Drosophila melanogaster: one gene and its partners. The protein of the gene in region 1 interacts with the protein of each later gene in a pairwise test. Each region holds a gene or a part of one and is shown in the gene's direction. Other genes may lie near its edges. The genes, in order: Crg-1, CG10147 and ems.

Evidence for each region.
Region 2: the proteins of Crg-1 (region 1) and CG10147 interact in a two-hybrid assay, tested with the Drosophila melanogaster proteins (one large-scale study listed by BioGRID).
Region 3: the proteins of Crg-1 (region 1) and ems interact in a two-hybrid assay, tested with the Drosophila melanogaster proteins (one large-scale study listed by BioGRID).

The regions. Positions count from the first base shown.
Region 1 is NC_004354.4:3,787,044-3,799,495, forward strand, and holds Crg-1 (circadianly regulated gene), read left to right. Parts: upstream 1-6,179; 5' UTR 6,180-6,363; intron 6,364-6,420; exon of another isoform or gene 6,421-7,617; intron 7,618-7,819; 5' UTR 7,820-8,048; coding exon 8,049-8,185; intron 8,186-9,616; coding exon 9,617-9,824; 3' UTR 9,825-10,296; downstream 10,297-12,452. Other genes in the region: HIP-R (Hsc/Hsp70-interacting protein related), read left to right, coding at 3,121-3,293, 3,374-3,495, 3,713-4,359, 4,434-4,625; HIP (Hsc/Hsp70-interacting protein), read left to right, coding at 12,204-12,376.
Region 2 is NT_037436.4:6,480,160-6,490,656, reverse strand, and holds CG10147 (uncharacterized protein), read left to right. Parts: upstream 1-2,232; 5' UTR 2,233-2,315; coding exon 2,316-2,801; intron 2,802-2,861; coding exon 2,862-3,722; 3' UTR 3,723-4,490; downstream 4,491-10,497. Other genes in the region: bulli, read right to left, coding at 19-418, 481-739, 795-1,187, 1,244-1,727, 1,789-1,896; CG42747 (uncharacterized protein), read right to left, coding at 5,601-5,972, 6,095-6,426, 10,340-10,362.
Region 3 is NT_033777.3:13,897,408-13,908,344, forward strand, and holds ems (empty spiracles), read left to right. Parts: upstream 1-4,445; 5' UTR 4,446-4,771; coding exon 4,772-5,906; intron 5,907-6,196; coding exon 6,197-6,546; 3' UTR 6,547-7,213; downstream 7,214-10,937. UniProt on the Drosophila melanogaster protein: Acts as a homeotic selector gene controlling antennal and mandibular segment identity.

The DNA.
Region 1 (12,452 bases):
TTATCTGCTGGATTGTGATTGTGGTTCAAACATTAAAAATACACTTACTCATACACACAAGGTAGACACTGCAGACTAATTTTGCCTTAAAAGAAACAAAACGAATAATGTTAACTGTAAATTTTCACTTTGTGTCCATGCATAGTTACTAGTAATGATGATATAAATATATAAATATATATAAAATATAAAAATTATATAAATGTATAAATTTATATTTATATATATATATATATATATATATATATATCTGCATAAACATTGAAGCATACTAGTAAATCTTTATAAATATATTTATATATATATTTATCTCTTCCTTTTAACGCTTTTAATCGGAAAAAACATCCCAATTATATTTTAATTCAATTTGAAATATAAAAGTCATTTTTGTTTGTTTTGTATCAAAATCCAAAAAAAATTGATTTAAATATAAAAATACCATAAACATTAACACCACACACACACACACACACACATATATATATATATATATATATATATATATATATACATATATATATACATTTGTATATAGTCGTATCTGAACCACAAACAAATCCACAGATAAAAAAAACTGAAAAATTCATAGAATCAAACCATTTTTTTATATGCCACAAAGAAAAGAAAATAAGTAGAAATGCAAGAAAAATCGAGAAAAAGCGTAATTCATGAGATCAGATCGGATCAGAAAAATCAACAGAAAATAAACCTATTTGAAGTAAAATACTTCTAAATACATAGTAAACTAATGTAATAGTTTTTATTAAAATTACACATATATGTATCGATATATATACATGTTTTTTTTTTTTTAATTTTAAAATTATAATTGTAATGCACTATGCGTAAATTGTATTAAATATTAATATCCAAGGCATATTAATAGAAATATATATACATATATAAAACCTGCAAAAAAAAAACATGAACTACCAAGCTAAATGTTTCAATAATATATAGATCTATATGTATGTAAAACCGATATGAAATCTGCCTACAGCCAGACAAAAAAAACCTTAAAGAGAAAGATCAGAAGAGGAACAGAAGAGTATGAGCGGGGAGTGAAAGATGCAAGATTCATCCAAAAGCGAAAAACATTTTTTTCTTAAGTCTACGCAAAACAAAATGAATGAAAAGTAACCCGAAATTAGTTTTTAGAGTATAAGTATAAAAAATGGAAAATATCGCGATAGAAAGAAACAAAAATGGACGCAGATAAGGACGGCAAGCAGAACAAGAGTAATAAAGCAGCGGCAAGAACTCCCTAAAAATAGCAAAGAGCATTGTAAATATTTATATAAATAATTTATGCCTAATTAAAGTTTAAATTAATGAAGAAAACCAGCAAAAAAACATAAAAAACCAGAAGAACCATTTCAGATTTGTATGCAAATTTGTATATGTACGTACTTTCCTTTAATTTTAGCCAATCAGTTTGTAAGATTAAATTTTTTTTTTGCATCTCTATAAAGAATAATGATATGAGGATAATGATTCCGATTTTTTTTTCCGTTTAATGTAACCGTTAGAATTAGCCCATAATGGTCGATATCTAAATGTGTGTGTATATCGATGTGATGTCATCGATTGTCGATAACGATTGGATGCGAGTGTGTGTTAATTTAATTTGATAAAAGATAAAGGAAAGCAAGGAATGTGAAGATAATGAAAGGAGATGCATAGAGAATGAGAGCGAATCTATCTATTATATAATTATGTAAAATGCACATCTTTAAATTATAAATTATACATATTTAAAAGGAAACTATTATTATTATTTTGATTACCATTATCATTATTTTTTATTATCACTTAACGGTTTCGGTTTGATCCACAGCGAAACCAACAACAACCAAGAAACAGAAACAACAAAAAGAGAAACAAAATAAACAAGCGAAATGTTTGATAAAAAAAACCACGAGATGTTTTAATTTATTTGTCTTTAATTCTTCGATTTTATTGAGTTTTTCATAGAGAAAGTTGTCACACTCAAGAACACACACGCAAGCGTATAAAGCTAAACAAATTAATACCTACTAAGTGTTTAAATAGTACTAAACGAATCAAAATATAAATACTTAAAAAGAAAAAAAAACGAAAATAAAAATAAAAACAGCAGCAGAAAAAAACGATGAGACAGTTGAGCAGACGAGAAAAACAAAGCCCATTAAATTATTTGTTGAGTATTTTATTAAAAAATAATTACGATAATAATTAAAAAGTTTAAATTGAACGAATTACGAAAAACAAACTGAATATACATATATGTGTGCATATATACATATATGTATGTATTATATATAAACAAATTATTTAATAGTTATGCTAAAAAATTATTTAAAGTGAACGGATATGAAAAATATTTGTATGCGTGCGAGCACGGAGAGAAGGGCACTCAGAATAGGCCATCGACACCACCCACTCCCTTCCGATACCCGAACATCACCACCAGTTTTCACCATTTTCTGACCCTTAACCCCTTCAACCAGACACACACCAAACACAAGAAAAGGCGAAGAAAGCCGAAAAAAAAACAATGCAAACACGAAATAGGCGGCGACGACAGAGATAAGCGCGAAGAAGATACTAAATCAATAAGTAAACATAAAAATTAATTAATAAATTAATTCCAAAACAAAATGAAAAAAGCTAAAAAAAAAACATCAAGAAAACAAAAGACAAAAGCAAACAAAAAACATGACGAAACATTGAAAATAAAAAAATACTAAAATGATTAACAGAAAACTGTTTTAATGTCAATGGGGGCAGACATAAACTTCTTCAGCAATAGTTATGGACTTAATTGTGGCTCATTACATTCTCGATCCTATGTGAATATATATGTATTTAGTTTTGGGGTATGTGGCGGAAAATGGCTGTTATCTTTTTAAAAGTTGTCACATTTTCCAGCACTATCGTACGCACAAAATACTGAAAAATACAAGAGCGAAGCGATAAATACCGTCGATTAATTCTCAGTACTTTTTCATGGTATTTATGCATACCAATCGATAGGGCAGAGCAAAAGTGGACGTAAAGCTAAGCAAATATTGCTTATTAATAATATTAATATATTAATATATCAGATCTGAAAACATCGAGACAAAACGGAATTCAGAAATGGCTTTCACAATGCAAACCGGGGATCTGAAGAAGCTGAAGTACTTCATCGACTTTGCGCTTGAGAATCCCACCTTCTTGAACATGCCGCAGCTGCAGTTCGTCAAAGATTTCGTGGAGAAGTTTGGTGGCACGGTGCCGCCTGGCCAATTCAACGGTGGCAGCGCCGGAGGGTAAGTTAACCGAACTATTTGACCAATTTTCAAAACAACACGATTGTATGATTTGCTCATCCCGCGGCTTGTTCTTCCAGCAAGTGCCCATTCGGCGGTGTTGCTGGTGCCAAGGCCAACGAGCCGGCCAATGCCCCCGAGGATAGCGAGGACGAAAAGTCCCTCTCCGATCCTGAGTCGGACGTGGAGCTGGACATGGAGGGTGAGTGTGCAAATTTTGCCGAGTCACGTGGTCATTGGGGGTCACAACCCTGGACTTTGATGCGTTGCTGTCGCAGTGCTGGCAGTTGCTTTATCTTATATCCTTTCGACACTGCAAACTTAGCGTTTACCCAAATTCGAATCCTGCAGTATTAATATATGTAATACGCCAATTAAAACTATGTATCTTCTATCCGTATTACTTCCGACGCCTTCAGGTGTGATCGAGGCGGACAGCGACCCCGCCCAACCCATGGGCAACTACAGCAAGAAGGCCACCGAAGAGGAGGTGGAGCAGGCGAGCGAGCTGCGCGCCCAGGCGGCCTCCGCTTACGGCCAGCAGAAGTTCGACGAGGCCATCGCCTTGTACACCAAGGCCATTGAACTGAGCCCGGGTAATGCCCTTTTCCACGCTAAGCGTGGTCAGGCCTTCCTCAAGCTGAAGAAGCCGAATGCCTGCATTCGGGACTGCGACGTGGCGCTGGAACTCAACTCGGATTTGGCGGCTGGCTACAAGTTCAGGGGACGCGCCCGTCGCCTCCTCGGAGATTTTGAGCTGGCTGCCCATGATTTGCGCCAAGCATGCAAGCTGGACTTTGACGAGGAGACAGACGAGTGGCTAAAGGAGGTCACTCCGAATGCCAAGAAAATCGAGCAGCATCGCTTGAAGCAGGAGCGTCGCCAGGCAGAGCGTAAGATCAAGGAACGCCAGCGGGATCAGAGGCGCGCACGTAAGGAGCAGGAAAAGCACAATGCCAGCTCTGGTGGATCATCTGGAGAATTTTCCGGTGGGAATCCTGGTAACGGAAATATGTCTGATATACTGGGCGCCATGTCAGATCCCGAGGTGTCAGCCGCCATTCAGGTTCGTGAATACTACTTTTCTATTTCTAATACAAATGCAGTAATCATATCGTTGTTATTTATTAACTTTCGTAGGACATTTTGTCAAATCCGGGTAACATCACAAAGTACGCGTCGAACCCGAAGATATACAACCTTATCAAGAAGATTGTGCCCGGTGGAGATGTGGGTGCTGCCTTTGGCCAAGCGGGTGAAAAGGCTGGAAAGCCGAGCGAGCCTAAGCCTAAAAAGGACTCCGCCGACTTCGTCGATGACGGTTTGGACTAAGGTTTAGAAATGGGGCAGTAGTAAGACTGAAACATGCGTCGATAAAAAGAAGTTAACAACCAATTACACGAAATCGAGCGAGATTACAAAACAACAAAGAAAGAGAAAGCAACAGAGTGCGGTGAAGAAGATGGACTACACGAAAAACAAAAGGGAAAGCGGCTGCCTTACACATTTTTGCAGCTGAGAAAAAACAAACATTTCCTAAGCTTTAACTTAACCAACACGTAAAAGAACGGGCGACAATGGAGAAAATTCAAATATTCAAAATACTACAAGCAGTCAGAAGAATAAGCAACATTTATTTAAATCGAGAAGAAAGAGATGTTGGAGATGCTGGAGACGCTTCTTCACATATTATTGAAAAGCATACTTGCGGCCATTAAAGTGGCAAATGAAACTATACAAAGGAGCTAGAATATGCTTAAAAACTTATCACATTTGCAGTTCACAGGTAAATCAAAAGATTGTCCTGTGACGAACAAAACATAAATGTTTAGACGTCAAGTCAGATTCAAGGGTGCCGATCGATCTAGTTGAACTAAAGCTCGAGAAACAACCAAAAGAAAATAAAAAATATATATATGTTCAATAATATTAGCCTAAATTACCGAGAACGAAGAAACGGATAAAACTAATCGCATCATTTGGTCAAACAAAATTGTACTGAGTAGGATTTAAATCATATTGTAAGCAAATGCATTTAGCCCCCCAACATGAAAGCAATCGCCCATTCATTCACACACTCATTCACACACTCATTCAACCAGTGATCAATGGAAATAAATAAACGAATCAACAAGAACCCGAATTGCTAATGTCCATATTTTTTGGTAAACGGGTAAAAGGGGAGATACTTTTGCTTTTTTTTCGAGCGGGTTGGACAGATGGAGCCGTAGTCCCTTAAACTATCCGGCGCATCACCTGTGTGGGTTGCTCACTTTGTATGAAGGACATTGGGTACGCATGGTGTATGAAAGCGTCGATTAGACGCTTCAATGGCTGCACCCTGCACCCTGGATCCAGAACCTATCTACCGCACCCCGCCCCATGTCAGCGCGAAATTGGCTAACGGACAGCTTGGCGCACATGTTCGATTATGGCCAAATCGAGCGACCAAGCAGAACCAGCGGCACATGACCTGGGCTCAGCGATGCCAAGACCTGGGTGGTTGTACCTAGAGGTACTTGATTGCTTTTTAAACTCAGCTTGGTACAGCGTACACGACTGATTATTTAGAAGCTATGACAGCTTTCTTTGCTTTGATATTTTTCATATTTATATATAAATTATAAATATATATTTATAAGCAGGTGATATGGTTGAAACATATATCAACGAATATGTCAAATATAATACAGTGAAGTGTCTGCATTATTTTATTGTACCTGCGCCATCACAGGTACGGCTCCTCTTTCCATCGACTGCAGACGTACCGCTTATGTGCATGACTGGGTGTCCGGGGTGGTGGATGTGAATGTGGATGAGTGGCAGGAGGGCGCAGGCGCAGCTCAGCCCAACAGCCAAGTTGGTCTGGACTCCTGGCGGCCCATCGCATTCCGTGGCCAGTCGCAGCGCGAGACGGTTAGCCAGTTAGCCAGTGCGGACCGACTAATTCCCAATTTCCGCTCTTGACTAAACTAAAGATTGAGAAATAAAGAAAGAAATATCCTTCGTCCGTCCCCCAGACGAAGCAGGTCAATTTTTTTTTCGTGTTACTTGCTCTTTTTCGCCAAGTGTGAGTTGTGTGTTTTGGCTTGGCTAACGTGATTGAAATCGAGACAGCCGGGACATCATGATTGTCAACATGCCCGTCAATGGAACGGGCAGTGCATCCAGCCCAACATCGAATCCCAGCAGCAACAACAACAACAATAGCAGTACCACCAATCAAAATGATACGAACACTAATCTTCCCGGTGATTACAACTTTCTTAAGCGCAAGTTCGACGATCAGGAGGATTTGGCTTTGGGCCACGACTACGAGCCCATCGGGGCAAATCCCTGGAAGAAGCGACACTTGGACTACGATGCCGGGGACCTGCACTTCCACCTGCAGCTGGAACAGCCACCTAGTAATCCGCCAACCAACGCTGCACCCGCCCAATCCTCGACGTCCTTCATCAACGATCTCTTTTCCTATGAGAGCAGTCTTCTGGTGCCCGCCGTCGCCTATTCGCACTGTCCACCATCGAGTGCTCCATTGGATGACAATGGTGGTTGGACCGGTGGCGAGCTGCTGGAGCTGGATCATCGTTATAACTCCGGCCTGCAGGCGGAACTGGGGCAATTGAATGCCACTTTGCCGCCGCCACCACCAACATCATCATCAGCTCAAAATGCATCCAATCATACGCAGCAGTCAACACAACAGAATGTCATTCCTGGTCAGAACCCACATCAGAATCAACATTTTCTGGTGCCGCAGAAGCAGCGGATACAGTCGGCGGGCCGACGCACCTCATCCGGTTCGGTTAGTGGGGCCAATGAAGCCACCGAGGCGGACTTCGAGGATAAGAACCTCTCGTGGCTGCTCAACTTTAAGTTCGACGAGTTCCCGCACCTATCGCCGCACAATCAGATTCACGGACAGGCGGTCAATCTGCCGGAGGGCAGTGCTCCACCTCATCCACCATCGACGGCAGTGCCGATCGCCACGTCGCCCTGCAGTTCCTCCTCGCCATCATCCGCCTCCGCCGCATCGGCATCCGCATCCGCCATAAGCACAAATCAATCTCTCGGATCGGGTTTGGTGGATCAACGGGCCAGATCGCCCAAGAGTTGCTCCAGTGCAGCGATGCCAGCGGCATTAGGAGGAGGAGGCAACGGCTCCGCTGGCGCTTCAGCAGCGGGGGGCGTGGCCGGCGTGGGCTCCACCAAGACTGGGCGCAAGTTCGAGGAGCTGGTGATGGAGGTCACCTCGGAGTTGGACGGTAACGACATGATAGTTGCCGAGCACGTTGTCGTCGAGGATACTTCGTCCAAGGCGTAAGTGTTGCAGAAATAAAACAATATGACAGTGTCAACGGTTAAATTCTATATTTCCTAATTTATTTGAAACATCTATTTATTCCCGTTACTCATAGAGGAAAAGGGTATACTAGATTCGTTGAAGTATATATAAAATTTGTTGATCAGGATCAATTTTTAAATTTTTTTCTCATTTTATTCCCCAATATCTATCGACATCCCAGAAAGATGATTAAATTTCGCGTTCGCATTCACACTAGCTGAGTAACGGGTATCTGATAGTCGGGTAACTCGACTATAGCATTCTCTCTTTTCTTTTAATATATTTAACAATCTTTCTCTCTGATTTGTGCGTTCTCCATTTGCTTTCAATGCCGTCCTCCAATCGATGCCGCCAACGAATTTCCCCAACCACGCAATCGCCGATCCACTAAACCACCGAACCACCCACCAATGTGGCTGAAATCCAAAACCAACCACCGCAAAACAAGCAGGCCAAAGAAACCACCGTTCACCTACACGGAGCTCATCGAATACGCCCTCGAGGATAAGGGTGAGCTGACTGTGTCGGGCATATACCAATGGATATCGTAAGTACTGTCCCCCATCGAACCACCCACTGAATCAACCACCACCGCCCACCGCCCACCGCCCATTCGGATGGACGCCATTTTGTGGAGTGCTAGCCATCCTGTTATTTTTGTTGATGGCAAAAAACGCCAGCCAGGATGCAATTAAACAAATCTCAAGCATTTCGTTTTGGCTATTCCCGTTGGCCATTTGATTTCCTCGTTCGCTGGGTATTTCTTCTTACCATGTTTTCGTTCCTTGGTTGGTAACCAAACTTAAACAAAGTGCCACACACCGGCAAACAAACGATAGCGGCCACAATGAAAGTGCAAAAAAATTAGCAGCTCAAACAAATTTATGGGCTAGAAAATTGCATTTACCTTGCCTTCGCTCGCATAAGGTGAAAAACAAAAATGTTGTTAACCAAACTATTTGCGGGTTGTTCAACAAGTTGTTTATGCCAAACTGGTATTCCCTGGTATTATCAGCTTATACGGATAGCGACCCATTAATTTTGGCTTTTGGATTGTTTAGTGGCAATTGTTGAGTATACCAAATTCTTAGTTTTATGATGATAAGTGCTTAATACGGCTCATTCCGTATTAGTTAATCATTCAGAAGTATTCAAAACTAGTTAATCATTACCTACTTTTCGCAGAACGTTAAAATTTTTCAAAATTCCATTTTTACCACGCTGAGTTCGAAAATATCAATTCGTCAAGAATCGCTGACGAAGAAAACAATAAGTTTTAACACATTTTTCAAGGTTCATCAATTTGGCCTTTCGCCCCCACTGCTCCCCACCTGTTTTTTGTTATTCATTTCTTTTGTTGTCTTCGAATACCCGAAATCAGTGTAAATATTTGATGCCGCAGCCGCGAATGTTGCGTGTAAATATCCTATATAAATTTACATATAAAACCACCCCGCTCGGGAGGGGGAGGCAAATAATTTATGACATTTGCCCATCACCTGCGCACCTGCACTCCTCACCACCCCCCGCATTTAATGTAATGAATCGACAGTCCAAGAAGTTTCGGCTCAGTTCGAATGGGCGTGCAGTTTGGGTAACTTTTCATTAACCATTCACAAATTTACCTTGCGGCCCCCAGTTGGCTGGTTGGTTGGCAAACGGGGGGATGAAATATTAACATCCAAGGCGTATTATTAGAAATATATACATATATGTCGAAGAGTCATCAGGACGCCCTTCTTCCTCTTCACTATTCTCGTTGTCTGCGCAACGTTTTCTGGCGCGTAAGCGAGACATGTCTGTTCTTCGCAATGATCGATCACTGACTGACCCAATCTCTTTTCACAAAATCAGAATTATACGTAGTTCTTAACTCTACACGCATTACCAACACATTTTGGAGACTCACTCCAGTCCACATACATAAACACTAATGCATTTAACCGCATTTTTCTGTACGCTTCCGTTATTCCTGCAGGCATCTACTTCCTCCCGCTCCTACCATCGACCAGACTACGTTAACGGTTCTCTGTCGCGCATCAAAAGAACAGAAAAGACGCCTGCATGGCGCGCCAAGCAGAAACACGCAATTACTAGAAATGTCGTTACATTTAAATGATCTGCGACATATAAATGTAGATATGTATATAAAAGCTGCAAAAAAAAAACATGAACTACCAAGCTAAATGTTTCAATAATATATAATAAACCGATATGAAATCTGCCTACAGCCAGACAAAAAAAACCTTAAAGAGAAAGATCAGAAGAGGAACAGAAGAGTTTGAGCGGGGAGTGAAGATTCATCCAAAAGCGAAAAACATTTTTTTCTTAAGTCTACGCAAAACAAAATGAATGAAAAGTAACCCGAAATTAGTTTTTAGAGTATAAGTATAAAAAATGGAAAATATCGCGATAGAAAGAAACAAAAATGGACGCAGATAAGGACGGCAAGCAAAACAAGAGTAAAAAAGCAGCGGCAACAACTCCCTAATAATCGCAAAGAGCATTGTAAATATTTATATAAATAATCTATGCTTCATTTAAGTTTAAAATAATGAAAAAAATCAGCAAAAAAACATAATTCTAGAATAAAAATCAAGAAAACCAAAGACAAAAGCAAACAAAAAACTTGACGAAACATTGAATATAAAAAAATACTAAAATGATTAACAGAAAACTGTTTTAATATCAATGAGGGCACACATAAATTTCTTCAGCAATAGTTATGGACTTAATTGTGGCTCATTACATTCTCGATCCTATGTGAATATGTATGTATATGGATATGTATTTAAATTTGGGGTATGTGGCGGAATTTTTTCGAAGGATCTATTCGCTTTATTGTTATCGATTTCTATATACTAATAAATACCAGCTAGGTCAAGATTTGTATACGCTGTTCATAGCTCCTTCTCGAGGGCCTTGGACAGCCGTCTATAATGGCCGAGGATGCACTGTCTCCGGTGCCGCAGGCATACCCGCTCGCTGCTGAAACGCTTCAAACAAACTGAGCAACGTCTGTGATCACTTATTCCATTGGGCAACCCGTTGTGTCTGCTAAATACGGCGACCACTTTCGCCTTGGCACAGCTCTGCTCTTTTTTTCGATGTACCAAAAGATAGCTGGTGGATTTGAAGTAACGTTTGCACTGAAGACATCTGTAGCACTGCCTGCCGCTATGGTTTCGCAGGTGCTTGAGCAACTGCATCTTTGAGTGGCTCATGGCGTTGCAGAGTAGATGTGGGCATTTAAAGAGCATTGATGACTTCCTGGGCGCCAGAGCGGGACAGCTCAGACTGTGACGCTTCAATAGTTTCTTGTGGTCCACACGCTGACCACAGCGAAAGCACAGAGCACCAGGTCCATAGTGCGCGGTCATGTGGCCGTGGTGCTCCAGCAAGGTGTTGGCCACATCGCCGCACACCGCGCACTCCAGCATGTCGTTGGGAAATTTGAATGTGTTCTCGCTCACGTAGGTGAGAAATTCTTTGGAATCGGAGGCCTCAGAACCGGTATCCTTTGTCCGCTCCTCTGGTAAATACCACTCCTCCGAATCGCGACGGCATTGAATGCCCACATCCGTAGTGCGCGCATTCTCTGTTTGAATGGCGCGCTCTCTGCGCGGAAACATTCCAGTGACCTCGTTAAGTTCCTTCTGCTGTACTGATTTCTTGGGAGCCTCCGTAGCGCCTCCATTGGTGATCGGGGTATGCAGTCCTTTTACCGGAATGCCATTCTCTAGCGCGTGCTTGCGTGTCACACACTTGGTCTCCACACACACGAACTCCGGCAGCTCGACGACAGGCAAAGGGAAAGGCTTAAGGCAGAAAGGGCCGTTGCTTGGTCGTTTTCCGGCGGATATCGGTTGACCGGCCAACCCCACATCCTTAGTGCGCGCATTCTCTGTTTGAATGGCGCGCTCTCTGCGCGGAAACATTCCAGTGACCTCGTTGAGTTCCTTCTGCTGTACTGATTTCTTGGGAGCCTCTGTAGCGCCTCCATTGGTGATCGGGGCATGCAGTCCTTTTACCGGAATGCCATTCTCTAGCGCGTGCTTGCGTGTCACACACTTGGTCTCCACACACACGAACTCCGGCAGATCGACGACAGGCAAAGAGAAAGGCTTAAGGCAGAAAGAGCCGTTGCTTGGTCGTTTTCCGGCGGATATCGGTTGACCGGCCAACCCCACCTTTGCCGCTTGCGCCGGGTACATTTCGTTGATTCACAAAAATGAATTCAGATTTTACTTGGAACTTATTTTATTATTGTTACTAATTTACGCTTGGTTTTTATAAAAATACACGGATTTTGCTGACGCAAAAAATTCAATGTTTCTATTGGTGCTGTTAGCTTTTAAAAGTTGTCACATTTTCGAGCACTATCGTACGCACAAAATACTGAAAAATACAAGAGCGAAGCGATAAATACCGACGATTAATTCTCAGTACTTTTTCATGGTATTTATGCATACCAATCGATAGGGCAGAGCAAAAGTGGACGTAAAGCTAAGCAAATATTGCAGGACATCAGATCTGAAAACATCAAGACAAAACGGAATTCAGAAATGGCTTTCACAATGCAAACCGGGGATCTGAAGAAGCTGAAGTACTTCATCGACTTTGCGCTTGAGAATCCCACCTTCTTGAACATGCCGCAGCTGCAGTTCGTCAAAGATTTCGTGGAGAAGTTTGGTGGCACGGTGCCGCCTGGCCAATTCAACGGTGGCAGCGCCGGAGGGTAAGTTAACCGAACTATTTGACCAATTCTCAAAACAACACGATTGTATGATTTGCTCATCCCGCGGCTTGTTCTT
Region 2 (10,497 bases), on another chromosome or scaffold:
AATTATAGTTATATCCACCTCATGTGCTTCAATCCTGCCCAGCATATCGATGGCCACCTGGGATATCGCCGTATCCACATTTGAATGCGACAACAAAAAGCAAGCCACCGACTTGGATTCCAGCAGCATTGAATAGCTGACCAAGCGTCGCAAGGTGTCGAAGCTGCGATTGGAGATCAGCTCGCTGATGATCATCTTGCTCAGCTCCTCCTGGGCGGCAATGTTGAACTTGTTCAGGGATTGCAGGTAGAGCATCAATATGGATTCCGTGTACGGGCGACGAGCTATGCGCTGAAAGATTTGCACCATATCCAGTTGCTCAATGAGCACAATGGGCGGTGTGCTCTGTTTCAGGGTAGTAGTTTTTACGTTCGACGGTTGAGCGGTTTGATTTTGCAGCTCCAACTGGACCCAAGACCTAAAGTATACCATGCATAATGTAATAAATATATATTGATGAAAATAACGTCTTTAACTTACGCATAGATCTTGTTAATCCGACTGAAGATGGTCTCTAGGACTGGCAATAGAGTTCCCTTATACTGATCATCTACCAATTGTCCAATGACTTTTAATAGCATCTGCTTGCCATTGCTGCGTTGCAGCAGGAATTCTGTAAGTCGAATGCGATCCGAAATCAGTTGGCACAATGGTTCAATGCAGAGGTTCAAAAACCACATGCAACCCAACTTGGCATCGATTACAATATTTGGCTGGAACAGTACCCAGTGCGTGGAATCTGCATGGGTATAAGTGTCAAATAAAGTAACTTTTTGGATATTTAAAGAACTTACACAACTCGCACTGCAAGATTTGTCCATCAGGCGAAAGTGAGGGCAGTTTCAGGCCAAACGGTTTGATGGAGCGCCCTGGAGTTATGGGTGTATGATAGGTTATTTCATTGATCACCTCTCCGGGCAGGGAGATGTCGAATAGCAGCGAAGTGCCCGAAGCTTGATGGTGCACCACAATCAGATTATCCACCGTGTTGATGGCGAAGCGACCAAGCAGACTTAAGCGGAGCACATGGCACTTGCGTGGAGCCAAGCCCGGTCCATTGAGCAAGTGCACCTCGACTTCCATCAGTCCGGTGGTGCTATTTGACTGGAGGATAAGCACAGCCAGCACGCCGTAAACTTGGCCTAAGGTGACCTTGCTCTCCTGGACATCGCGACTTGGATTGCCCACTGAAAGGAAAGATTAAAACGCTTTTAAAGGATTTTAACCCAAAAGGATTACTTACAGTCCACTTTGGGCAGCTTGGTGATTACTTTCTGCTTGACCAGCACCGGAATCAGGGAGTTTCCTTCGCTGGTGCACAGTAGAGCCACATTGGCATCGCAGCACCAGGCGAACCACTTGATGCCAATGCTCAGGGATTTCACAGAGCGCACCTGTCGCTTCTCAGGAACTACGGTGTAGACCTCCACGCCGGTATTCGAAATCAGGGCCACCTCTCGATTGTGGACCCAAACAAAGCCATGGATCAGAGTCTTCACCTGGTGGGTAATGATGTCCTGCAGCAGAGGCTGATCTCCCTGAAAACATATGAACTCCACGGAATTCTCCTTTCGCTGAACGGCCAAGATTTGGTTGTCCGGCGAGAACTTAATGGACCTTATGGCACCGCCACGGTCGCTCATGCAAAAGGAGATGACGACATCGTCGGGAGATCCAGGACCTTTGACCACCACACCAGTAGCTCCTCCAGACCGAACAGCAAATATCTTTACAGATATAGATTTTTAGCCATCATCAACATGGATTTTTAACATGTTTTAACTATACCTGCTTGTTGGAGTCATCGAAAAACACATTGGTTAGTTGGCTGACAGCATCAAATCGTATGGGATTTGGGGTTAGCTCAATGTAGTGGATTCCATTGGAATTATCCATTGTTGTGCTGGAAAAAAATAAATAACAAACTGCAACAGCACAACTTTTTATACACCCCCCATTAGAGATGTGACTTTAGCACAGGGTGCTAGAGATGTGCCACGAGTAACAAGCTGTTTTAAGTCACGATTAATTTCATTTATTGTACGTGCAAGGATTAAAAATATAAATGTATTTAACATTATTTGTGGTATGCTTACAGTAGATATTTTTAAACATTTATACTATATTTATTTAACCCCTTCCAACTCACGCTATTATTTGCCATCACTATTGCTATCAGCGGTATTTTTGCCAGCCCTATCAGCTGTTTAGTATACAAACAACAGCGATAAGAAAAAACGGCAGACAGGACACAGAAAAATATTTTTTCTTGTGAATTTAAAAAAAGGTCTCAATAACTTTGATTCAACCACTTAATGGGACACCTGGACAAATGCCGCGTATGCTCCAGCGATGTGGCTAGAGACGACGAGGCCTACAATTTGCTGCACCATCCATATCTCGCCGTCAAATTTTCGGAGTGCACAAATTTGGTGGTGGATCCTGATGACCAGGATATTTTGCCCAGCGAAATTTGCTCGGAGTGCTACGAGCTTCTGGAGAAGTTCCACTCCTTCCGAGCACTTTGCATTATAGCCGACAATAAGTGGCGTTCTAAAAGTCTGGTAACTTGGAAGAAAATAGATCGCAGGAAACCTGTTTACGAGGTCGATGAAGATGAGGAAGAGGAGCTGGAGCTGGAAGAACTTCTATTGGAGCCGCCGGAGATGATTATATGTGATACCAATTTGAGTGCACAAAATACCCCAATAGTCGCTGAACAGGCACCGCCAACCTTGGTATTCCATACCTTCACCGAAAATGTCCAGCAACCCCCGGAAACGGAAAAGAAAGCTTTGGAAGTGAGTTTGGGTTTAAGGTTTAAACAGGAGTGTAAGTTAAGTTGTATTCAATGATTTCAGGAGCCGCCATTGACCACATACAAGTGCGACTTGTGCGCCGACGAGTTTCGAGAGGAGAAACGCTTGATTCTGCACAAGAAGGAACACCAGGGACACATGCTGTATCATTGCACTGAGCCCGGATGCGAGGAAGCTTTCAACCGATTCGAGAACCTCAGGCAGCACGAGCTAGAGCACTCGGAAGTGGGCATGCGGTTTGTCTGCGAGGAGGAGGGCTGCAACAGGATGTACCGGCACAAGGCCTCGCTGAAATACCACCAAAGCAAGGCTCACGACATTGGCAAGCCTTTGAAGACCCATATGTGCGAGTTCTGTGGTCGGGTGTTCAAGACTGGCTCTGCCCTAAGCCAGCATCGGTTCACACACGGTGACCAGCTGGTATTGCCATATGCCTGCGAACTGCCGGAATGTTCTATGCGATTCTATAGCACGGAGAAACTCAAGATCCACATGATGCGTCACCAGGGCATAAAGAACTTTAGTTGCCCCTACTGTGGTCTCAAGAAGACGACCAAAAACGAACTGCGACTGCATATCAACTATCATACTCTGGAAAGGACCTGGTCCTGCAAGGATTGCCCCAAAGTTTGCAACAGCTCAACGAGTCTTAAGAAACATATCCGCGCAATCCACGAGAAGGCACGAGATTATGCCTGCAGCTATTGCGAAAAGAAATTTGCCACCACCGACACGCGAAAATATCACGAAATGACCCACACTGGCGAAAAGAACTTTGAGTGTCACGTTTGCGGCAAGAAATTTATACAACCCTCTGCCTTGCGCACCCATCGCAAGGTCCACGAATCGGGGGATAATCAGCAGACCGCTTGTGCTCTGCTGCAACTGACTAGCATGGGTTAAAGAAGTTAACATATTTCTATTTTAGGTTCAGTGGAAAGTACAACATTCATATCGTATTTTACTTGACTCACAACTTAATTAATATTTACATACCTCCTTTATTGAGGGATTTATTACGATAACGAATTAGAAGAGCAGGGAAGAGGCAATTTTTAATAAACTAGTCTTAGTTTCTAATGGCACAAATACATGCCATTTTACCCTTAATAACGTTAACAAATCAGGAAGTTTAGGGTAAATGGCATTAATTAATAAGCTGTAGTTTTTCTATCTTATCAAGAAACTAATTAATATGACAACAACCCGCAATAACGACAATAAATCTTATGGTGTAGGGTATAAGTTAATGACAATAAATCAGAAGGTGGAAGGTACAAGTATATGACGATAACCCCAAATAATGTTAACAAAACAAGAAGAGATTATGAATGGAGACAATAACCCTTAATAACACTAATCAGGAAGTGTAGGGTAAAGTGAATTATTTTAAAGAAACTGCACTTTTAGTTTCTTACCATTTATGTATGTCAATTTACCCTTAACAACGAAAATATCAGGAAGATTAGGGTAAAAGACGTTTAGTATTATAGTCACATTTGCAACTTACACTTTAAGTAAACGACAATAACTTCGAATACTGACAATAAATCAGGAAGTATAAGGATACGGGGAGTTTTGCAATAAACTTTGGTTTAAGTTATTCACGTTTGAGAATATGCCAAGTTATCCAAATCAGGAAGTAAAGGGTAAAGTGCATATTCTTTTATGAAGTGTAGTTATAGTTTTTTGTTTCGTTCTGTTTGTTTCTTAAACTTTAAGTTTGTTGAATTTATAAAATTGTTTTCTTATTACCTATTTTTTATGAACTAAAACCTTTTACTCGGTTAAAAATGAAATTATATACTTTAAGAGTACTATTGTACTTACTGTATCGACAAATAAATACTCCAATAAAGAACCATTTCCTTTTGGGATTCAGAATGTAAATATCAATAATTGTTTAATTATATTTTCAACTAAAACAATAATGTACAGGAATTGTGTGTGTGTGTGTGTGTGTTACTAAATAAATCGGCAGAGGATTCGCTTCCTGCCGCGGACCACTAAAAACTAAAGTACATCTGCTAAAGGTCGTGAGTCTGTTTATTGTATATGGTATAGTATATAGATAGCTTTGCATACATATGTATAATGGTGTGGTAAATGATATGACGTGCCACGATCATTTCCCCCGGTAAATATGGTGAAATCTGTTGCATTAAAATCGTTGTAAATATGATTCTTCAGTTATTGTTATAGATATATATTTGTATAGTTATATATGTTGGTGAGCTAAATGCGTTTTCTTTTTTCGGCTGCTGTAAATATTGAGTGTATAAATATGTTGTATTCGTATGTATATATCGTTTCTATATTTGCGTGTACTGATCCTGGGGGGAAATACGATTTCTTGTCCATCGCGTTCACTTCACTCGTTCTAAGCCTATGAAAAAATGCGTTTGTTGTCGTTTTTACATTTTTAGAAAATGTTTAAAGTACGTAGAACATAAGAATATAGCATATTTTTAGGCTAAATATCACCCACGATTAAATCGTTGCTTAGAGACTACATAAAAACTAGACATATAATACATTCTTGCCTTGTAAGTGTGTATAAATATATCCCAATATCGGCAACGGGTACAGATTATAATTTCAGACATTAACCAAAGACACAAGTCCATGCTAAACACTAAACACTATGGTATGCCAGTGTTAAATATTATGTAAATTTAACCTTAGATCTGTGGGGTGTATATAACGTACTTCTATATCCTATTAACATGTTAAGCTCGCTGAACATTTCACATTATGTTTGTATTTAAACGCTTACTCCATTTAGACATAGTCCGAGGGCACTGTGCTGGTGCTCGTCTCGTTGATGGCCGCCAGTCGAGGACCTCGTCGTTGCGTCATCGCCGCAGCCTCGCCCGGCGTAAGGCCATTGCCCCCACCACCACCGCCTCCAAGGATGGCGGCTGCTGCTCCTGCAGCCACAACACCGCCACCTCCCACTCCTCCGCCATGATGATCCCAGTTGGGCAGCGGCTGGGACATCACGTTCAGTCCGACAATCTCGTAGGCGCCCTGATTACTGCCACTCGCTCCGCCGGGCATCGCGGTCACCGACAGATCCGAATAGTAAGCACTGCTGGGTGCCGAGGAGACCACCATGGGAATGTCCTGCTCGTGGCCCTGGTAATTGTATTTCTGTAATGAAGGGTGGATTGCAGGATTATTTTCTGAATTATTACTGAATTTCTGTCATGAATTGGGCTGTAGGTATTAAACCAATTTACCAACTATTATTTTACTTTATTTGCGCTACCCACCTCGCCACACTGACTGTAGGCCGTATTCTGATATGAGGGATTGGCGGATCGCACGGACTCGCGATCCAGTTCCGCGTAGAGCGCCTCGCTCACGCCCACCGGACTGTAGGCATCGTCCATGTGGGTATAGTGGTTCTCCGCCGGCGACGTCGACGGCGGACCGATCTGGTCGGGACCGGCGGAGGAGCGACGACTGCCGCCCAGCCAGGTCCAAACGCCGGAGTTGCTCGTGGGCCGCCGGATGCTGTCCGCCGAGTGCTTGATCGAGATGGGCGATCGATTTTGGCCACCGTTTCGGTTATTGCGACACCACCAAGGCTGCGGGCGGCCACCTGCAAGGGGAATTCATAGAGGGGTTAGCCACGAGGTCGTTATCTTCTGTTTGCTTAATTAAAATCATGTTACTCATACGACACGTTGTCCGCTGGCCAGCGATAATTGCGAAAGAGTATATATTGAACGAAAATTACAATTGCCATTTGTGTGGATTATCTGTGACACTTGCTTCATTAAAAAATATTGGGAAATCAGCCAAAGGAATGTGGATTAGTTTTATAAATAGCCAAAAAAAATGTTGTGCAGTTGGGTTGGCAAATTTTTAAACTCATCCTTATTACTTTTTAGGTAATAGTATCAAATATTAATTTGATGATTTTCGTTTCCTATATTTTAGGGAACGATAGTCTATCGAATCCAAGCCGAATTCGAACGCAGCAGATATCTATGACATTTCGGTTTATAATCGGGCTATAAATCAAACATTCACCTCAGGACGCAAACAAAAGACAGAAACAAACAAACAAACAAAGCGTAAATTAAACGGCTGTCAACTGGCAGCGAGGTGGCAAACAAACTGCACCGCTGCACCACTGCACCGCTGCACCACCGAGTGGTTTTCCGCAGTGGCAGCAGCAGCAGCCAGCCAGCCAAAATGCCGAAAATGCCAAATGTTTCTCCTTTTCGCTATCAGCACATGTGATCTCATAATGCCCAGGCGGGCATGGGAAGGTTAATGGGAGCTCCCGTGTGTGTGTGACTCAACCGAGCGTTTGAAGGCACTCAAAATCCAAATAGCCGGGATTCCATAAAACCCTGGACGTCATTAAGCTCATAATTTATAGACAACTGACGCCAAACGCTCATTGAGAATCGCAGTAGGCAAACACGTATAATTGCTGGTTGTAAACGCGGTGGACCTGTTCTCAACATCCGAACCACAACGGCCATCGTCTCGACTTTCCAACTCATCGCCGTTTAATTTGCCTAGAGTCGCTTGCAAATGTGTGTATTTAGTTTTTATATATTTTAACTCGCCTTTCACTCTCATTAAGTTGGAAAAGATGGTGCCACTCGGAGCCACTTGGGGCGATTCAGCTAATTAGCGTGGAGCATACGCAACGGCAGCGATGGTTTCCCAAGTTATGCACATGCATAATGCAGTTCCATGTGCACTGGCAGAAATATGCCAGAAGTAAGAGAAACTTAGCTTGATAAAATACAAAATTATAAAACAATTAAACATACAAAATAAATCGCTACGCCAAACTCAATTTGTTCTAAGAAACGTATAAACTACTTTCAAAGCGTACAATTTTTTCTCAGTGCACCTTGCATGGCGAAGTTGGAGTCGAAGTCTGTTTTATGCTTATGATTTACGTACTTCGGCTAAGCGAATGTCCAGCAGCAATGGTTTTGACTGCGGCGATTATTACCCCCGAACCGAAGTTATCGTACGTAGGTGCTCATATACATGCATTTTGTGCATGTCACCAATGCGGCAAACACAAGTCGCAGACTCCAAGAGACCCAGCTCCAAGATCCAGAGACCCAGCTCCAACTGAAACTTGGCTTTAATGGCTGTTTTTGCGCCGTGTTAACGATGTTGCCGCGGCTACTGCACAGCTAACTCAGCTGAATCGAGCCGATGCAAGTTGCACTGAGCTGCGACTGCAACTGCATTGCACTTACGATTTCTTTCGGGGTTTCTCAATGCTGCAGCACAGTGGTAGATAGCCCAGAAATGTACTGAATGTATATTACGAAAATATCTTCTGAACTCATACTACTTTATGGATCACTGTGCCATACTGCATTTTAACAGCTATAGCGGCTGTCTTATCTTCGCCTGCTTATCGCAGTCACCAGAACGGCAGCAGGGAAACTGCAAGCGGCAAATTGTTGTTAACAAAATATTTCGCAGTCGACTTTTGCTCAGATGAAAAGCGGACAAAATCAAAAATAAATAAACGAAAAATTAACGAGCACTTTGGCTTTGGAATTTAATGTGTGCTATTTGGATTTTTATTTTTACTGTTTGCTGCGCAAATGGCAAATATGACATGTGTAATGAAGTCTTAATAGTCGGATAGATAATGCCAATCGCGGTGCTATGTCTTACCCGTTTAATGCAATGTCACTTAGTATTTTTCATTTATTTATTTATTTATTTTTTTGTACTGCTCGGTTACTGTGAGTTCTTTGTATGCATAATTAAGACCATGTTACGCATACGACACGTTGGCTGCTGTTCAAAGATAATTTCAAAGAGCTCCCAAGTAAATTGACACCATCGAATGTTGCAATTGCCATTTGCTGTGATGGCTAATTGCGATTGCTGAAATATGCAAATTGGAAATCCTTTGTTTCTTTCTTGTAAGTTTTTTACATTCTTATTCCAGCATTGTGTAGATAATTAGGTAATTTCGAAACATGTGCACAGATATAAACACTACTCATGTATATAATATACATTTTCGACACATTTTTAGCTAACTTCATAAAAAACAAATTTAATGTCTAACCATTTTTACAGACTCCCATAAAAACTCAGTTCAATTCAGTCCCCACTTTTTCACCTTTGCAAAAAAATGTTGCAACAAATAAACACCACTTAAATGTGCATTTTTGGGCAATTGAAAATTTTCTCTTTCGACGCAAAAAAAGACTTGAAAAAAATCCGAAAAAAAAACTCTGTGGCAACTGGCGCTTGTCTCTCAACTCTCAACGGTGACTTGGACATAATCACGCGCTTTAAAAGCTGCTGACAGTTTAACGATTTGTGGCGATTGTTTGTTTCTCGGTTTGTTTCTTTTTTAGCTTGGATCAACATGCAGCCGTGCGTACCACCAACGAAAATTATATAAAAAAAACCCCAACAAGTGGGTAACAAAAACTTTTTGGCAAAATACAAATAAACAAACCAACCAAAGAAAAAAAAGGAAACCAACAAGAAACGAGCATTTTCATGGGGACAGCTAATTGGCTGCTGTGACATTAAATGCCGTCAACAATTTGTCCTGCATGTCGATTGTCGGGCCCACAAGACGGACGGTGAAATTGGCGCCAAGCCTCCGGAAGAAAGGGAGTGAGCTGAAGAAAGGGAAAGATTTCGACCTGAAAAGGGATCGGATGTCAAAAATTCGCCTACTGCTGAATGCTGAAAGACTCGCCAGAATCGAGCAACTAAATCAAATAGCAGAAAGAGTCCTCCAGCCCTCCTCTAGCCATTTTGCACGATTTTCAAACGTGTTTGACGAAGTCTGCGGCCATGACAATTGTTTTGCCTCTGCCTTAATTTGTCTACAAATTTTCTTTTACTCGAAAGTTTTTGCCAGCACGTAGCCTGGAGCCATATATAATACTCATGGCTCTCGATTTCGGTTTCAACTGCCGCAGGAGGAGCAGCAGCATCTCTGATTTGTGGCACGAACGTGAAGTTCATGCATTGTCGTCAAAAATTTGTCTTCATTTTGTTAGTTTACCTTCCTTCCACGCCAGTCGCAGAAAACAAATTAAAATGTTGGCACACCAAAAAAAAAAGGGAGCTGAGGTCCCCAGAACGAAAGATTTCTTTGAATTGCATGCCATGGCAGAATTATGCAATTAAAAATGGAAATGAAAATGCAAAGAGAAGGCAAGACCCTCGATGATGAGCAGAGGTAACAAAAAACCTGACCTGACTTGGCTTGGCTAATTAATCAGACGTGGCAAAAAAACATCAGGCTTTTTTTTAGAAGATGTGAGATATTGGATGGATAACAATTTTGGTCGTAAAGTTCTTATGGGAAAGTAAGGCATTTAATGTAAGCCTTTGAAAGCGGTAGCAATCTATTAAGATACCTAGCTTGCTAACTAATAAACAAACACACTTTATATAACCTGATGATTCCCATTTAATCACCCACTACAAATCATTTGTCTCATTTAAATAATATCATTGAATAAAGAAAACATTTATTCACTTACCATTGGCATTCGCTGATTTAATTCTGCAAAGATAAGAACGGAAAAATGTGTACCAATTAATAAACAGAATTTTAATAGACTGCCGGGCATAAATTAGTTTGGAGTAAATGTCAAACTTGTCGAGCGACAAAATGGCAAATGCCACAACGAATGACTTA
Region 3 (10,937 bases), on another chromosome or scaffold:
TTCTACAAATTTACACATTTGTTGGAATTTTTTATTGGCTGTCATCATTAGTTTCGATATGGCCAGGGGTTGGGGGGGCTATTCAACTGCTGGTGGAGTCGACAAGTGTGGGCGTGTAATTTATAAAGTGTTTGCCAGGGGGAAAATTTCGGGGGAGTATATTTATGTTTTCGCTGTGTGCGGAGAGGGGCAAAGATCTGCGATAAGGACGAGAAGAGTAATTGGTTTGGCCATCATTTTGATGGGTGGGGAGGCATATGTGTGATGTGGATGGCGAGGTGTTGAATGCCAAGAGGGCGGTACTTGCTCAAAAGGTCTCTGGGGGTTACTCAAGCGGTTATAAGATGATCCGGGGGATTTTGTATTCGTTTAGCTGGTGCCACGGAATTCGAGCTCGGAATCTACTTAGCTCGGGAGAAATTAACGATAAAGATGATAATGTGTCTTGGTAGAATTTTTATGGGTATTTAGACCATAGAAAATATATATTAATCAGTTTAGATATTTACAATGCACTATCATCATACATATAGTTCTAGGTGTGTATACTATCTTGGGAACATACACGTTGGTAAATAGTTTGTTGCATTTTCTCCACTATCTATAACAACTAAATCTCAAGACCTCACTGTACAAAGGTCCTTGTATCGTTTTGATCTAATCGTACCATGTCGCCTGCTCATAAATCCCGCTCGACCATCCGGATCTGGGCAAAACGATAATGACACACGAACAAAAGTGCCTGTCAGCCAAAATATTACCAAAACGAAAGTGTCAACCAGCCAGGTCAAAGGAGGAGGGCCATCACGAGCAGGGGAGTGGGGGGTACGTGGGGCAGCGCCGGTAAAAAGTCATAAACATTACGTTGATTTTATTTCGGCAACTACCATATTTTTTATGCCCGCAAAAGGATTGTCTGGTTGTCCTTCTGCTGGCCATGCTCGAATGCCCGTTACGGAAAGTGTCATAAAAATGCCTCGAATTTGGAATGGTTTTCCACTATTTTCCACTGTTTTGCACACACGTACTAAGCGGAGGCGATACAGTGTGAGAAATAAGTGTAAGTACAATCACAGTACATAAATCAAAAGAGTTCTTTTGTTTATACGAATATAAAATATAAAACTGTTCTAATTTTAACCAAGTATTCTTGAAATATTCTCTTAATGCCTATTGCATTTTTCCCAGTGCATAGTTTTGGGGCTGCGGGAATTTCAAGGAGAAATCAGACATTTTTATGACATTTCCCTGACTACTGTTTATTCGCTTTCTCCACGCCGCCCGCCCTTTCTTATTTTTCTCGAGCACTTTTCCGACATTTTAAACATTTCTTTTTCGCCGCTGGCACTTGGCCCTTGTCAGATTTTCCCTGCGCTGCATCGTGTCGTTTGTGTATTTTTTATGATTGTCAAGGATTAGATATAAATGTTTTATGATCTTGGCCCGCTACCGCGGTGCTGGACCAGAAATTGTGTTTTAATATGATTTTACGGCTTTGTGGTAACTCGAAATACGTCCAGCTTGATTGGCTCCGATATGTCGTGCCTGAAATTCCAAATGATCCGATCCTTCGGTCTGATGCACCCTTTTCTGGGCTATTCTCTCCAAATGGGATTTGGGCTCCTCTGGAATTCGTTTTCCTGGAAAACGCCAGGCTCATCACTGTACAGTTGTTTGATGTTCTTAGGGCTGACACGCCCCCCTGCCCCCGAAAACGTCGGTCAGTTGCTACCAAGTCAAATTTTCCCATTCCCTACAAGAAAAACGCGTGAAAATGTGGCCACAAAATTCGATGCCGATCCATCATAATTTCTTGGGTCGCGTGGATTTACAAGCGCCCAAATTATCGGCAGATCGTTTTGGGTAAAATATGAAAATAACGCAGAGCTGTGAAATCGATCGATGGTATTCTTGGAAAAGCAGTTAGCGATGGCGCTTGTCCCTCAATCGAGTTGCCAGAAATTAATTACATTTAAACGCTTCGCTCCCCCATCGAGTTTTCCCCGAGTTTGTGCCAATAACACAAAGTATATATATTGGAAAAACCGAGAAAATGGGTCTGAAAACACACTCGATTCAAATGAATCCAAAACGCACACTCTAAACGCCAACTCATCATCATTAAAGTCAATTTTTCTCGTCTTCTGTTGCCTTGTTTTGTTGCTACTCAACAATTTCTGGCCATCGAATCGAACAAAGGAAAATTTGCCACGTTTTCCATTGTTTTCCCAGCGAGATAAACAGAAAAAAAAACAAAATCGACGAAAAGACAAAAAGTGAAACTGCTGTTTTTTTTTTTCTCCATCCAATTTTCAGCTGAACTGGCATCGGGAATTGGACTGGCATACTGTAGATTTATTTTCTGGATGGAGGGAGGTTCGAATAGGTGAAATTGCATCACGCTGTGCCTCGGTTTCTGTGGAATTGTTTGCAGGCTGAAAATTGTTGATTTTGACACCTTTCGGGCTGCTGCATTGTGTTCCTCTTTATTTCCATCTAATAAATGCATTTGTGCCCTTTGTTGGCTGCATTTTTTACGGTTTTCATTCCTTTTTGCGAACTCTGGCGGGGGGTCATCAACTGCCGAGTCCTCCAGTTGGCCACTTGACTGCCGCTGGTCCTGCGGCCAGAGGATATCTTTATTCGCTCATTAGCAGCACGATTGTGCTGGCTGCAGGTCCTTCGAGTCCTGGAGCTCCTGCGGTGAGGTACTCAGCTCAGTGGGCGTGTGAAATTACCGAAAATACAAGGTAAATTGCGTTTTCTTTCAACTCAATTATGCTTGATTCGTCGAAATGTTGGCCGTCTGATTGCAAGGATTCTTCTAACCACAATTGATTAAATAGATATCAGAGTATTACTTCTAAATATTTATTTAATTTAATATTTTTGATATTTATATTTAATATTTATCATTTCGACCAATACTTTTTTTACTTATAATGAAGCTTTCACAAAATCAAAACTAAAGCTCAGATGCCGAGTTTCAAATCGAATTAGCTACACACACGTTTTGCAGATTAGACCGCAAATGAAACCGACTCAGCTAAAAATCGCTGAACTTTCGACAGCATTTCGCCTTGTAATCAAAATCCATTAGTCAACATAATTACGCTTTAATGGACTCGAAAGTTGTTTATGCCTTGCGTCGATTCGAACCGAAAGCTATGGGTAAATATGCGTGGCTTAATTAGCGGCCATAAAAATTTGATAGATTTTAATCTATCGCACAAGCTGTTGTTGTGCTCTCGCCGATTCCTAGCCCATTAATCTCAGAAATCCGGCGACGAATTTGACGGCTCCGGCTGATAACAGAGTGTGAAAATAGCACTACCGAATATTATTCCATTGTTTTTGAAAAACTCTTGGGGTTTGATAGGAAATGTTATAGTGTTGACCGAGGAAACGAAGTGAGACATTTGGCACGTCCCGACAATTGATGAACCTGCTCTGATTTTGATTTGGAACTGCGATTCGGACACTACATAAATTATGCAAACTTTGTCGTGTGCCAAAAAAAAAATGTAATGCCTGAAAATTAACATTTAAATCGTAGCGAAAAATAAACCCGGTAGCACATTTCATAAAACTGTCCCGATCAAGTTTCGTAGATGATTTATGGAAACAGCAAGTTTGAAGTGCATCCGTGGTGTGGAATTGCTAATGTGGACTGGATTGTCAGCTGTACGAAAACCGGGACGTTTTAAAATAGGGAAAGTTAATATATAATATCATAAATTAAATAAGTATTTTAAATTATAAATTTTACGCCATGTTGTTGAATGGGGTTTACGAACTTTAAAAACACCATTAACAAAATACTTATATTCCTTAATCTTTAGTTTTATGCAGAAATATATAAAGAGCGTCTAACAAATCCTTGCTAAACTATAAATTTGCACAACAAAAATCCCCCTGAGCAAGGGAAATATTTAAAACGCACATCCTCTGTAAGCCTCGAAAACCCTTTTCGAACTTCCTGCAAATTTGGCCAGAGTCCGCAAACAGAGACATTTTGCCCACCTGGCATTAGATTTCCATTTAGCGCTCGTTCCGGCCCAGAAATGCAACCGCAAAAACAAGAACTATGAATGGCAGTTTAAGCCAAATTACACAAAGGCCAAGAGCAACAACAAAGTCGTATAGTGGTGGCTGTTTGAACGGAAGCCATATGCAGAAAATTCGGTAAAGGCAGCGCACCGAACTGGACCCGCCCCTCGAAAAGCAGCCATTTCACTCGCTCCTTCGCAGCTAGGCCATATCTGCAGGGTAGATAAAATCCACAAGGCGCGCGCAAAGAAGACGGCCATACTACACCGAGCACAGTGCCTCCCGCTCTGGCCCGATAAACTGGTTTGGCCTGTACTGGCGAAGAGAGAAGACTCGCCGCAGCTCAGCTCTCTTCGAGTAGCGCACACTTGGTGGTGTTGCCGGGCTTACCGGATTTATTCAGACATCGAACGTCGTCGAGAGCACACGTCTATATTCTCCGTCTTCCGACACAAAAAATAAGAAAAACGAGCGCGTCGATCGCCGTAGAGCACAAGTCTTGACAACCCGAGTGTGTGTGTGATTAATAAAGTAACTAAACGTATATATGAAAGCGTTTCCAATGCGTCGCTTAGTGTGAGAAAATCAACGAAACATAGAGAGTTACAAATAAGGACTTCCCAGAGGATTAGACAAACAGAACAGATTAGATTAAACAGAAAACCGTGCTTAAACCCTCGAAAAAAAAGCCGCCAACATAGCCGAACTAACCGCCGTATTTATGACTAAGATGATTCCGCCGGTTCCCACCGCCGCTGCAGCCGTCATGATGCCCACACCAAAGCAGAAGATCGGTTTCAGCATCGAGTCCATTGTGGGCAATGATGTCAGCACCGCCGGCGGCAATTCGACGCCCGATCTATCCGGTCCCCAGAGTCCGCCGCCCGGCGAGCGCAATGTGCCCGGTTCGCCGCCCCAAACGCCACCAGCCACACTCACCTTGATCCCAGGCTCGCCCCCGCACCATCTGATGGCTCCTCCTGCCCACGGACTGCCCTATCCGCATCCGCATGCTCAGCAGCAGCATTTGCAGGCACCACATCCGCATCCGCATCTATCGCCTGCGCAGCAACATGTGCTCCACCAGCACCTCCTCATGCAGCAGCAACATCCGGGCACACCCAAGAGCCACCAGGACATTCAGGAGCTGCTGCAGAGGCTGCACCACAATGCCGCCATGGCCAGCGGCCTGAGTCCGCTGCAGACACGCCTCTCCCCCGAAACGGAGCAGCCCCAGATGGCCGTCTCCCTCAAGCGGGAACGCTCACCTGCACCACCTGCCATGGAGCAGGCCGAGAATCCCGCCCAGCGCATCCAGCCACCGCACACGCCTCCCAAATCCGTGAGCCCCCAGTCCTCGCAGCCCTCGTCTTCGCCCACTCTGCTGATCAGCAGTCCACATGCCACACCGCCACAGCAGCAACAGCAGCAGCCGCCCCCGAATTATCCAAAGCCCGCCATGATGCATCCCGGAGGAGCTGGACCCATGATGATGCCGGGCATGCCGCCCGCTGGACTCGTTCGCCCCTTTCCCATGGGACCCGGAGGACCACCGATGCCGCAGGGTCAGCCCGGCTTGCCGGACATCAAGGCGCTGCCGCCCTACATCAACGCTCCGCCGGAGCTGCCGCCTCAGCACAATCCGCATCTCATTGCCGCTGCCCAGTTCCAGATGGCCGCCGCCCTGCAAGCGGGTCATGTGCTTGGTCCAGCGGCCGCCGCCGCTGCTGCCGCCGGCCTGCCGCCCCATGCCGCCCAGTTTATGCCCAATCCAGGCATGGCCAGGGATAGCTATCAGCTGTACCCCTGGCTGCTCAGCCGCCATGGAAGGATCTTCCCACACCGATTCCCTGGAAGTAAGTATCTTTTGGAATGATTCTTTATATGCGAAACAAAAAAAGGAGATTTAGGGAAAAAAATAGTTCTTGGAGTCCAAATTGAAGCCAAAAAATGAGAAATTTCTTTAAAGTAATAATTCTAAACCTTCATAAATGTAATAAGAAATGAAAGATGCTAATATGTTTTAAATTAGTTTTGATGAGTCTCTTATAATTGCATTATATTGTCATTGCTAATTTATTGCTGTGAGTTATGATCTTAAATACCGATGACTAACCGAAACCCTTTCTTCTTTGCCTCTTTCAAGGTTTCCTGGTGCCCCCGTTCCGCAAACCGAAACGCATCCGCACCGCCTTCTCGCCGTCGCAGCTGCTGAAGCTGGAGCACGCCTTTGAGAGCAACCAGTACGTAGTGGGGGCAGAGAGAAAGGCCCTGGCCCAAAACCTCAATCTGTCCGAGACGCAGGTGAAGGTGTGGTTCCAGAACCGACGCACCAAGCACAAGCGGATGCAGCAGGAGGATGAGAAGGGCGGCGAGGGAGGATCGCAGCGGAATATGCACAACGGCAGCGGCGACGAGGACGACGACGAACTGATCGACATGGAGATGGACGAGTGTCCCAGCGATGAGGAGCACGAGCTGGACGCCAGCCACTGAGAGAAGCGGCCAGGAGATAGTCCTGCGGCGGTCCGTGAGTTCCTTATCCTGGCGAATGCAGTCCAGTTCCAGTTATCGAGGGTTCCCAGTCGAATCTCGGCGAGAGTAACATAGTTTGTTTTGTTGTGATATATTCTTAGAGCGATCCCAAGGCGTTAGGCTAAGTGTATATAGATAGGAAAGTATTAGAGACCCTTTCTCTCCATCCACACTTCTCTCTCAAGATCCGTGCCAAATCCTTGCGAAGTTTCGAGGTTGAGTAGAGCTCAAAGAATGCAAGTTGTTTCCTTTCTTTCCCAAATATCAAATGCAAAAAAAGAAACACTGAAAAAATAAACCTAGGCTAGACACCACCAACTATAACTGTACAAATTTTATGACTTAAGCCTGTAAATATTCATGACATTACTTTTAATTAGTGAATTCTTCAAAACAAATCGTACTCGATCCACTAGCTATTGTATAATTCTTGTATATTGTATGACGATCTAGCATTTATTTATGTTTAGTCTTAAGCACGAACCTCTAGAGTCCCTCAACTGCAGCTGGATATTATTTAAAGCCGTCTAATATAAAGCCCTAGTTGCTAGTAACTACATCCTAAGCTAATACGATTGTAAGAAACACAAACGAATATGATCATATAAAATATAAAATATTCATTATGAAAAGAAATCGAAAGAGAAATGTTTGATTGATTTATGTGTTGGGGGCAACCACTTATTATCCAGAATACTAGATAATTTATTTATAATTTAAACAATATTGGTATGTTTTGAGTTATGGGTGTGAACTTTAACTTCTCATTCAGCTTTATTACTTTCCTTCAACAATATTTTACTTTAGTTTATTTTTTCTTGTTTAAGCCTTGGCATCTCCGCCCCTTTTTAATTGAGTTCGTCCCACTGTGTGACAGAGTAAAAAATTATGCGCCGTCAATTAATTAGCGTGTGACATTTAACATTGTTGTTGCTGTTTCTGTCCACTGGAAATGGTGACAGGTGCGCTGGAAAAGGGGATTGAGGGGGTGCGGCCGCGACTGAAAAGAGCGGGATAGCTGAAGGAGGCGGCTATAAAATGCATTTAGCGATCGTTATTTCTTATAGATTTCATAAGCATTTTAATTGCACAATTTAAAATGCAAATCGTGTTTTATTGTAGAATTTAATTGAGCGCAGTTCGTGTGAGATCAAAGGGGCGGGGGTGGATGCTGAACGGGGGCTTTTGGGGGTTGGGGTGGCTTTGGAAACTGGTTAACAAGCCACTCGAGGTGTGCTAATGATCTAAAAGCCAAATTTATGATTATTGAACCACAAATTTATGCGAAAACTGTGGCGGTATATAAGCGCAGTTTTCATTATCGCCAAATCGGCTATCAGCTAACTGAAATCGGCTATCGAATGTGGCCTAATGAATATGCAGTGGCTAATTGCAATGGGCAAACTGCAAACTAGATTGGTCCGGCTGATATGGCTAATTAACGGACATAACGAGTCTAATTACTAGCTGTTAACAGCACTAAATTGTGGCACTCTGTCAAAGGTCCCCCCCCTTCAGTATTGAAATCAGGGGGGGTTTTTGGGGGAACCTATCTATTGCAAACACAAAGCTTACAATTGCAATAGTCGTAAATCAGAGTGGGCAAATTATATGTTTCATCGGTGATCGAAATCGCGGCTTTAGCCATAAACCTTTCAGCTAATGGCAAGTCTTGTTTGCTTAGCAAACACGCACCTTTGATGGAAACTTCGAGATTCCAATTCAAGATTCAAGATACACGGCCCATCGCGAGCGGGAACTGTAATTAATAATGGGGCTGGGGCACGCCCCCTGCATATGGGATTGGGGGCTTATCTGCTGGCCTCCTTTATCCAATATCACTCTTCAAATGTTTCTGTAGAACAAAACACACACTGGCGCAAAGGGACGGAGAGAAAACGAAAGCCGAAATCGGAATGAAATCCCTTGCTGATAATTCTCGGAAATTAAAACACAATTTGGTAAGTTGTTGGCTGTTGATGATGTTATACATATATCGAGCATACATATGTTTGTACAACTTGTTTTGCCTCGTGGCTTCGCTTTTGTTGTTGTTGATTTTCGAATGCCTCAAAAGGTTTGTTATGCGGCGCGCCCCAAAAAAAGAGATATAGTAATAATAATGCCAACAACAACGCCGCATTCACTTTATGGCCAGCACCACGCACCACAACTGGCTGCCCGTTGTTATTGTTACTTATCCCATAAAGTTTATTAAGTAATCCAATTTGGCTAAATTAGCTGTGTCTCGTCTCGAAGTTATTTCGGATTTTAATTGAGTTGCGGCTTGAGTTTGAGTTTCTCTTTGCCTACCCTCCCATCTCCATTCATTGCTCATTATTGCCTGTTGGATTTCACCGATCGCTGATCGATCGCCGGCATAATGCAAATTGTCAAGCCAAGATCGAGACCCCAACCCCAACCAGAACCCCTTGGCCCCTTAATGGCCATCCTTTGGAGTGCAGGGCTCAAGATCGGGACGTGCCATATCTCGGTGTTCTGTTTAATGTGTGTTTCCTGGAAGATTAATACGGCGAAATTAAGGAAAATAAATAAATGTCAGCGCTGTACAAGATCGTTATCGCATTTAACAATAATTACCCTGATATGGGATATGCTAACTAATCTGTTAAGCCCGCTCATTCCGGCCAAGGATCGTTCCGAGATGCGTTGCGATGTGCTGGCCAGGCCAACAGGTTTTTGGCCCCAAACGAAACGACTGTTTAGTGCTTTCCGTTGTCGCCCGAAACACCAGACATCATCGAAGGTGTCGCCGGCCGCTTGTTGTGTTAAATTAAGTAATTAATTTTAAAGTCCATGTTCGGTCCGTTTGTCTAACGAAAGACTTAGGCGACGAACTTTTTGGGGCCGCCACGCTTGTTAACCCCACTTCCGTCATTCACTTTTGCCTCGGAGTCTTGCGACTCGATCTTGATCTCGATCGGCCGACTTCAATTGCTTGTAATTTACAGAACGATTGTTCTCATTCCTCGGCGGGCACTTCCTGCGGTTCGGCTAGATTGGCATCACTTTTCCATACCCTCGACATTTTGTTTGTCGTAATAATAATTCGTAAGCGTTTTAATTGAATGATCCGACGGTGGGCGTCTCCCGCTCCTTAACCACACAAGATATATAAGATATACACTCCAGATCCGCTGTGTCATTGCCAACTGCTCGACATGTCCCGGGGTAAACAGAATAAACATTTGACTCGAATTTGGGCCCTCAAGTGCTTAATTAAGAGCCGCAACAACGTCTCGTTTTGGCTCTTGTTTATTTAACAATTTTCTGCGGCCAGGGTCCAATATTTTGATGTTTTCTAATTGCCTCAATTATGCTTCGCTCTCCGGGTGTTTTTTTTGACTGTTAGATCACGGATTTCTGGCGCCAGACGCCGTCTCTTTCATATGCAAAGTGCCTTACCGATCAAATATCGAATGCTTTAATTTGGTATATCAAAGAGAGACATTATGCTGCTGCTGCCAATCTCAGACTCCCTGCCCCCTCCCCCAGATCGTAAAAGCGTCAAATTTCTCAATTCTCGGTTGCCCATTACCAATTCCCGATTTCGTGGCCAACTCCATGGGGCGTCCTAATTGTTGATATGCATCTCGGTTTCTCTGCCACTCAGTTATTGGGTTCGTCGAGAGTCGCTTAATATTATTTGGTGAGTTTTATGTTTTATTTCGAATTAGCCGCATAAATATGCACTCTTTATGACAACCTGATGTCTGTTGTTACTGTTTTATGCTCGCTGAGCTGGAGCGCCCACGCTGCGTATGATTGTTGGCATTTCAATGATCGATACAGTGGTTTAAATTGGTCAGAAGGGAACTGAGAATTATAGTTTTTAATAATATTAGAATTTGTTTCTTATAATATTTATTAAATTGAATATATTTCCAGTTCAAGCGTTTTGTAATTGTTATACATTATATTTAGTTTAGTATCAACCCACTGTGCCGCGATTGACCATCGAAATAAATGCCATTCCACGCTGCCCGCAGTGCAATGCATTATTCAAGCGCTGGAGAAAATCCCGCCTTGGACATTTAGCTGGTTAAACAATCAATTAGTGACGACCGCAACTGAATCGCTGATGCCGTTATTGAATTATACTCGAAGCTATCAGGGGGCCACATACAAATGTGTATGTTCGTAGGACCCATGGCACCGCTCCTCCCCAAAAGGTATAACCCCGCCCTGACAGGCCAACAAATGCTCGGATTGCGTGCCAGCCTCAAGTTGGTCTGGCTAATTATGGGTTTGCCATTTGGGGCCTGCATATGGGTTCTAGTTCTACACCATGTGGCTCAATGTAAGGTATACATGGCTTTGTAGTATAGTGT